Linked DNA regions of Danio rerio. The protein of the gene in region 2 interacts with the protein of the main gene of each other region in a biochemical or structural test. Links are inferred from orthologs where the notes say so. Each region holds a gene or a part of one and is shown on either strand. Other genes may lie near its edges.

What was found.
Region 1: the proteins of gtf2e1 (region 2) and taf6 form a complex in vitro, tested with the Homo sapiens proteins (2 studies listed by BioGRID). The link is inferred for Danio rerio from reciprocal best matches to the Homo sapiens genes GTF2E1 and TAF6.

Annotation. Positions count from the first base shown.
Region 1 is NC_133180.1:58,922,958-58,927,028, reverse strand, and holds the start of taf6 (transcription initiation factor TFIID subunit 6), read right to left. Parts: upstream 2,834-4,071; 5' UTR 2,660-2,833; intron 1-2,659. UniProt on the Homo sapiens protein: The TFIID basal transcription factor complex plays a major role in the initiation of RNA polymerase II (Pol II)-dependent transcription.
Region 2 is NC_133184.1:29,390,172-29,394,329, reverse strand, and holds the start of gtf2e1 (general transcription factor IIE subunit 1), read left to right. Parts: upstream 1-1,292; 5' UTR 1,293-1,425; intron 1,426-4,010; 5' UTR 4,011-4,158.

The DNA.
Region 1 (4,071 bases), on a different chromosome or scaffold from region 2:
CGACAGTAATGAATATTAATAAAGTTCCACAATAGAGCGCGCTGATTGGTTTGAACCAAGCTTTACTCATGCATTAATGCATCACACTGTAAGACGTAACAAGACACACTCTGGCACAGACGCCCAGTCTGCACGCTGGAATACAACGCTATTATGTCATGACCGTGACGCAGCTTCAAAAATTCGTTTCAAACCGGAAGTACGAATTTGCTTAAAATAACGCAAAAACAACCAATTTACACTTTTTGGTGAAATATAGGTGTCCTAATAGTGTTTTTAGCAGTGTGGGACACATATACGACTGTCAACAGCTCAAAATACGTGTTTTGGTGTTTCGTGACACTTTAAAGCCCGCGCATCTCTTTCTCAAATCCCAGACTGCACAAAAGATGCCTCAAAATGAGCAAGTTTAAGCCACTTGTACATCCAGGAAGTGTTCAGGAAAAGCAAAACAGCAGAGAAGAATTTCAACACAGAGGAACATAAACACCTTACTGCCAACTAGCGTTTCGGAAGTGTTAATTCAGATCAAAAGAGACAGCGCGTAGAAGTATAAATGCACAGCTACACCCGTTGCATGCGCCGTGGGTCACGCCGGTCACTTAACGCAGAAGTTTAAACCAGGCTTTACCCAGAGATGGGTTACAGCCTAAAAGGCATCCGCTGCGTAAAATTGTGCTGGATAAGTTGGCAGTTCATTCTGCTGTGGCAACCCCGGATTAAGCCGAAAAGACTATGAATAAATGAATGAATGAATGAATGAATGAATGAATTAATTAATTAATAATCGGGTTTAAGTTTCATAGTAGCCTAATAATGTTTCAACGATTTTTTGTAGTTTGTTTTAAGAGATCTGAAAATATTAGCAAAATATATGCTGACATTATTTGCAGTTATCAAACATCTAAACGTTATGTATAAATGGGCTTAATTCAATATACTTGTGATTCAGCAAATTTCATAATGATGGGATTATTACTGATCTGTAAGCTCCATCTACTAGCCATCTTGTAGTGTGATTTACATGTACTGTATGTAGCATAATTTTGCAAAGTAAAACCATTATGATTTTACTGCATGTTTTCAAATTATACAATCTATATTTAATAAACAATTTTTCAAGCTAGCTTATATACGTTGCCTCTGTTGCCTCAATATTTATTACCAATAATGCTACTACAGTTTGTGATAAAGCAAATATTTTATGTTGTCATTTTTTTTCTTGTTTCTAGCTTAATAAAAAAGAAAGTGAAGCAATTAATATAGCTGTTCAGATATGTCAGGCCCATAGCTCGTAAGACATGGGAAATGCATTTTTCAAATGGACTTTTCTTTTTTTATTTGAAATGTGGCAGTCACTGCGCGTTCACAAAAGTGGAAATGCAATTGCAAATGTGCAACTTGCTATTACATTTGGATTGGGTCAAAATTTATGCATCCACATATTAAAAATTGTCCTGGATATCCTTCTGTAAAAAGAAATTGAATAATGTGGTCTAAGTTTAAATGTTAAAAAAGAAATAAATGTTTAAACATCTTGTCTGAATTGCCATGCTAAAAATAGATGTTTCTGTAGAAATTACCCAATTATTTTTTATAACTTGAAGAATTATGATGGTTGTTTTGGCTATTTTTAGAATAGTTGTGTCTGTGTATTTGGATTCGTTTTAAAGCTTGGAATGCAGCATAAAACTGCATGGAATCCTATTTATTTGTATTAATTAGCTTAAAATATGCATATTCTTAAGTATTTCGAGTAAGTTGCTAAATAAAAATGTATAATATTGATAACTATTTAAAGCATGTATTTTGTAAAAAAAAAAAAAAAAAAGAAAAACTTCCCAAACTTGCGTAACGCTACACTTCTTAACAGAGAACAGCTTTGCATCCTACTAGGAATCGTAAAAGTACTATAATAACTCTATAAAATGTCCAATTATTACTATGTATTATAAGATCAGTCATTTATTTACTTTCTTTTCGGCTTAGTCCCTTTATTATTAAGGGGTCGCCACAGCGGATTAAACCACGAATTTATTCAGCACATGTTTTACGCAGCTGATGCCCTTTCAGGCAACAACCCATCACTGGGAAACACCCACACTATCATTCAAACACATACACTACAGAAAATTTTACTTTACCCATTTCACCTGATTTGTGGGGGAAACCGGAGCACCCGGAGGAAATCCATGCGAACACGGGGAGAACATGCAAACTACACACAGAAATGCCAACTTAACCAGCCAAGGCTCGAACCATCGACCTTCTTGCTACTGCGCCACAGCGTTGCCCTGTTATAAATTCTCAAACTCTAAATTATAAAATAGTTTAGTATTTCTACTAGAATCAATATGAGTTTGCATTGCTTATTTGAGACCATGTAATTAACGTTACTGATCAAATACTCAGAAGTAAAGAAGTAAATAAACTACGTTGTCTGTGCGTTACCGCTACATAAACCTGCGTTGTTTATATATATATATATATATATATATATATATATATATATATATATATATATATATGTGTGTGTGTGTGTGTGTGTGTGTGTGTGTGTGTGTGTGTGTGTGTCGAAAGGCTATTAATGTACGACTGGATCATGCTTCTCTGTAATAAACGTGCACAAAAGCAAAAGTGAACAGCATGTCTTTCTTACCTTCAAAAGGAGGTTGCAGCTATGTCTATTTAAAGCTGCCGCTTTGAAAACAATAAAACAAAACGGGTAAATCCTCTGTATTATATAATACGAATTTTGTGTTTTTATTTGTTTGTTTGGTTTGTTAATACTTTGCACAGCCCATTTAGTTCCGAACCATTTTTCCGAAAATTCGCCATTTTGAATCTGCTGAAAGGTCCTAAAACAAATGTGACGTTATCGCACGTATATTTTTACAAGCTCATATTAGCGTCATGTTTTAAACACACTTTATAAAAGAATAGTTATAAATGAACGTTTTACAAATTATTCAGCAAATATTTAATGCAGAAGAAGCAGTGTATATAGGTTCATTTTTATGCATCTTTCATGACATAGACTGCCTCGGAATCGATTGCAGGGGGACTCGATTTCTCACCACACCGCCTCGCCCGAGTGGAGTAAGGGGAAGCTGCAGGCCCGGAGACCCAACTGCACGCTCAGACTAGCGCGCACAGACAGACCAGACAGTGCCCCTGCTGTTGGGTTGGGTGAAGCGGCGAGTAAGGGGAAGCTGCAGACCCCTATATGGGACATCTGCAGACTTGGATCTAGGCAGTTTTACGGCTCAGGCAATTTTACACGCCACAGTTTTACGCCGCTGTTGTTCCTAATGCGTCCAGTAGGGGGGATGGAAGATACATGGCCAAACAATACATTTGAAGTCTACTCTCCCAGATTATTAAATGTCCTGTTCATAAATACACACACACACACACACACACACACACACACACACACACACACACACACACATATATATATATATATATATATATATATATATATATATATATATATATATATATATATATATATATATATTTTTTTTTTTTTTTCATTAGATTACGCTGAATAAGAACGCTAAGTTAATTTATCAGAAAGTGAGTTATAAACTCACTAGAGAATATGCAGAACTGATACACTCACCAAACAATTTCAGCTATGCAAAAGCCCACTGGCAAATTAATTTAGATTAATCTAATAAGAAAAATTCAAAACACAAATAGTTGGAAAGTGTAATGGTTAATTGTAGCCTAGTTATACGCTTTTATATAGAGAGATGAAATTTGTTGTATTGTTTATATATAAAGTTGCATTTTGACAATAACACAATTATAACCGTACAATACAGTGTAATATGGCGTAATGATGTGCTGTGATAAGAATGCAGTGGTATTGACTACCAGACAGCTGCAGAACGTTTAGACAAACAATTTACTACTTTCTAAAATTTCAAGGACCATTTAGCTACCTGACAATCAAAAACCTAGACAACATTAGATTTTTTTTACATTTATTTATTGACAACAATATCTCTAGAGATTGCCAGTTGTCTTTAAATGAAGCTGAATCCTTGCATAAAATTCTTA
Region 2 (4,158 bases):
GGACAATTTAGCTTACCCAATTCACCTGTACTAGAGGTTTATGGACTTGTGGGGTAAACCGGAGTGACCGGAGGAAACCCATGCCAACACGAGGAGAACATGCAAACTCCACACAGAAATGCTAACTGACCCAGCCGAGGCTCAAACCAGCAACCTTCTTGTTGTGAGGCGATTGTGCTACCCACTGCGCCACCGTGCTGCCCTTTGCTTTAATACTTTATATTTTAATACAATCTCTACACTATAAATTATTTGTTTTCTTAAAATAAATTCACAATTTAAAACAATAAATCAACTATTTAATTTTTAAAACTAAATTTTTTGTTACCTGAATAAACTGCTCTGATTAGGGGCGGGGGACAATTTTGCATGCAATAATGACGTTAAAATTTGTTAGACCTTCACCAACATATGATAGTAAACTATGTTACATAATTTGTAGGTATAATTTATGCTTCCATACATTTATCGGGGGCTCCCAGATTCTCTGGGGGATTAAGTGACTGTTTACCTTATTTATTGGTTAAATCCCGCCCCTGCCTTTGGCCCCTAGACACCTCACACTCCAGTTCACATATTGTCATCATATATTATATAATTTAGTATTTTTATTATGCAGTACCACTACTAAACTACGCCAGAGAACCATAATACGGGATACTTTTGACAGTTTTTAAGTGGCGAAAATACATTTCAATGACATGATTCCTAAAGTTAATGGCACTGAGCCTATCCTGTTACAACCAACATAAACTGAATTTAAACACTGGCAGACTCACGGCAGCATCTTTTCCTTGTTCTCTTTTTCTGTTTACTGGCATCACTCTCTGGACACACGTGTAGTCTTCACTGTGAACAACAAGGAAGCAGCACAGCGGAAGCGGCTTCCTTTCGTCTATGACAAAAGCTTTTACAATTAAACCTTACAAGTCTAAGCAAAATACGTTCATTCAAACATATAAACATGTGTACTTTACATGCCGAGTGTCGGTACTTGTACCGTAGGATTGTTCCAAAGACAATTAAAGGGATTTTTATTGTACACAGCATCACATTACTTTTAACAAGTAGTTGTTATTTACTTTTTTAGTTTGATATAAAAATAAGATTTTATAAATACTGACTAAATGTATTATTTTAAAATGGTTAATGCACAACATATTTTGGTAAAGCGTTTTGAATTGTATATAGACTTTTCAGCAACATCCTGGACGTCATTTCCGCTAAACGTTAGCGTGATGCTGAACTAGGAAACTTGCTCTGATCTAAACAGGAGGAAAATTAAAGGTTTGAACTGTATTTTATCTCATTCAGTTTTCATGTTGTTTATTTTGCTAAACGTGTGAATGTAACGTTAACAGCATTTCTCAAAATACCGAATCATCGCGTTAATCTTACATTAAACTCTCCAGATACATGAAACTGGTGAGTAGTCATCTGTACTCTCACATTGCTTTGTATTATTTTCGTTGAGCGTATTTATTTCATACTTTTTGCGTGTAACTGAAGTACAAATTTAAGACAACATAAACTTATCTTCGTTTCTAAAGTAATTAACCCTTAGACATCGTTCTTAAATGAGCTCCTTTTATTTACGTGTTTAAACTCCATGTTAACCTGAATGACTGCTGTTAACACGGTAAAAAAAATTCTGATTGATATGTTTTCCATAATGGTTTCTGCATGGTGCATCTTAGACCTTTAACTAATCTTTCTGACATTTCTAACCTTACAAAGATTTCAGTGACAAATTGAACATTGCTGTTTTGACTTCAGCTGATATTCCTTTAAATGGCACCTATTTTACCCCTTAATCAAGATTTAAGATAAGTCTTTTGTGTCTCCAGAATGGGTCTGTAAAGTTTCAGCTCAAAACACCTCTCAGATTATTTATTATACCTTTAGAAGTTTGGAATTTTCTGCTTTGAACACAATGTAGCTGTTTTTGTGGCCTGCGCCCTTAATGCCAATTCACCCTGCCCACCGTTCCCTCGTGCCTGTCGGAGTGTGCCTCAATCTCTGCCTCGGCTGCGACAGATAAACAGCACAGTGACAAAAAGATCTCCCGTAAAGTTTGTGAGAAATACTTCAGTAAGAAATCTCCCAATGATTATTTGATGTATTTGTTGTGGAGTTAATTCAAGCCTTTCTATGATGAGTCGCACACAATGTTGTTAGAAAGTTTACACAGACACACACACACACAGGGATGGGACGATAAACAGTTGTGAATAGTAAAAGTTTTAAAACCGTAATGTTTTCAGTTATACAGTTTCTAAGGTATGTGTATGTTTTTTTGTTTTTTTTTCACGATTACTTTAGTTAGTTTTTTTAGGGCAACAGAATCTCCAGCAAAAAAGGAACCTCTACACTAAAAGCTACTGGTCTAATATATATATATATATATATATATATATATATATATATATATATATATATATATATATATAAAATAAATCTATTGTGTTCAATAGGGGCAAAAGTTGTTGTGTCCCAGACATTTAAAAATAATTTATTTTGGAGGAATAATTACAATATCGTGAAACAGTGATATTTTTTCCAAGGTTATAAAATCAGAATCTTATTCCGGCCCATGCCTACACACACAGTGCGCGCATTTAACTTTGCACTGTTTTTGCACGTAAATGTGACAGGAGGATACACATTAATATCCCCTGCTTTATGGACATCCATTATGTTAATGTACAAAATAAACCTGATTTAACATCCACAAACGGATTGAAAGGTCTTCTTTTTTTAATTGTACTGACCTGGGGCTGTGGTTATAAAGACGGTAAAATCGCTTGCGTGTAGTCTTCTTGTTGATATCTTGTTGATATGATTTTACTCGTTACTGCGATGACATGTTAATATGAGGCTGTCAATCAGTTCAGTGGGCAGGAAAACTGCGCTCCTACATCACAGTGCAGTGGGTCTTAAAATGGGATGGATTTGGATGCTATTTCAACATCAGGAAATAGAAAAAGAGACCTATTGTCTTTATATCACTCCAATATGACTGTGGACACACTTTACTTACAGTTGTGTCCAAACAGCTCACAAAAGATGATTTTTATGATAGGTGCCCTTTAAGGTAAAATTATCTAGTTATTTAAAAAAAAAGATTGTAGAAATACTATTGAAAATGACCTAGGGCTGGGTGATATGGCAAAAATGCAATCTTAATAATTATTTTCCATATTGAATGATAACGATATATATATTTCAATAGAAGTTGCTAATGCTTTCAAATTTAAAAGAGAGGTTTACCCCCAACAATGACTGAAGCCACAAAAATTAAAAGCTTTATTAAACCATTAACAGGCCTAACATATGCCAAAGCAATGGCAAAATATCTCTAATAACCACACACTTTTACATTCCCATTGTTTACATTTCTGCTGTGTGATTGGCTCTTAGATCAATTAAAGTAAAAACGTCCAGAGCTCATCATTGTTATTGACAAATTTTATTGCGATTTGATATGATATTGTTTATCAGCCCAGCCCTAGAATGACTCTTGAAAGCATCAGTTATTAACAAACAACCGAATTATGATGTTGTTTATTAAATGAGGGATTTAAGGCGCTATATTACAGTTTGACAGTTAAAAGTATTCCTATATATATATATATATATATATATATATATATATATATATATATATATATACACACACACACAAAATGATTTTATAAGTTAAGTTAAATAAGTTTCATTGTTGTTTTCATTGTCATATTTTTGATGTAGGTGAGTGCTGTAAAGGTGTCAGAAAGTTTAACCTGGTCCCATAAAATCAATGTGCTGTGTTTTTAATATAAAATAAACACCCCAGGGGTTGCAAAAATAAATCAATCCATCAATCAAATCAAAAGGTTGATGGCTTTTTATTTTCATGTTGGTTTTGTAAATGTAAGTATTAACTACTAATCTTTTCTTCTGTATGTCATGGATAAAATATGGTAAGCAGGTGATTTTTCAGAAATTTTCTGTTTTTTTACTTTTCACAGACCTTCCTCCAAGAAACCTAAAGTTCAACTCTTCACTGTCTTGCATAAAAGACAAACTGACCCTTTATGACAGCACATTCTTGGTCCTGAAATATCTCTTCATCTGCTGCTCTCTCAATCCCTCTTTCTTTTAGTTTTTCCTCATTCC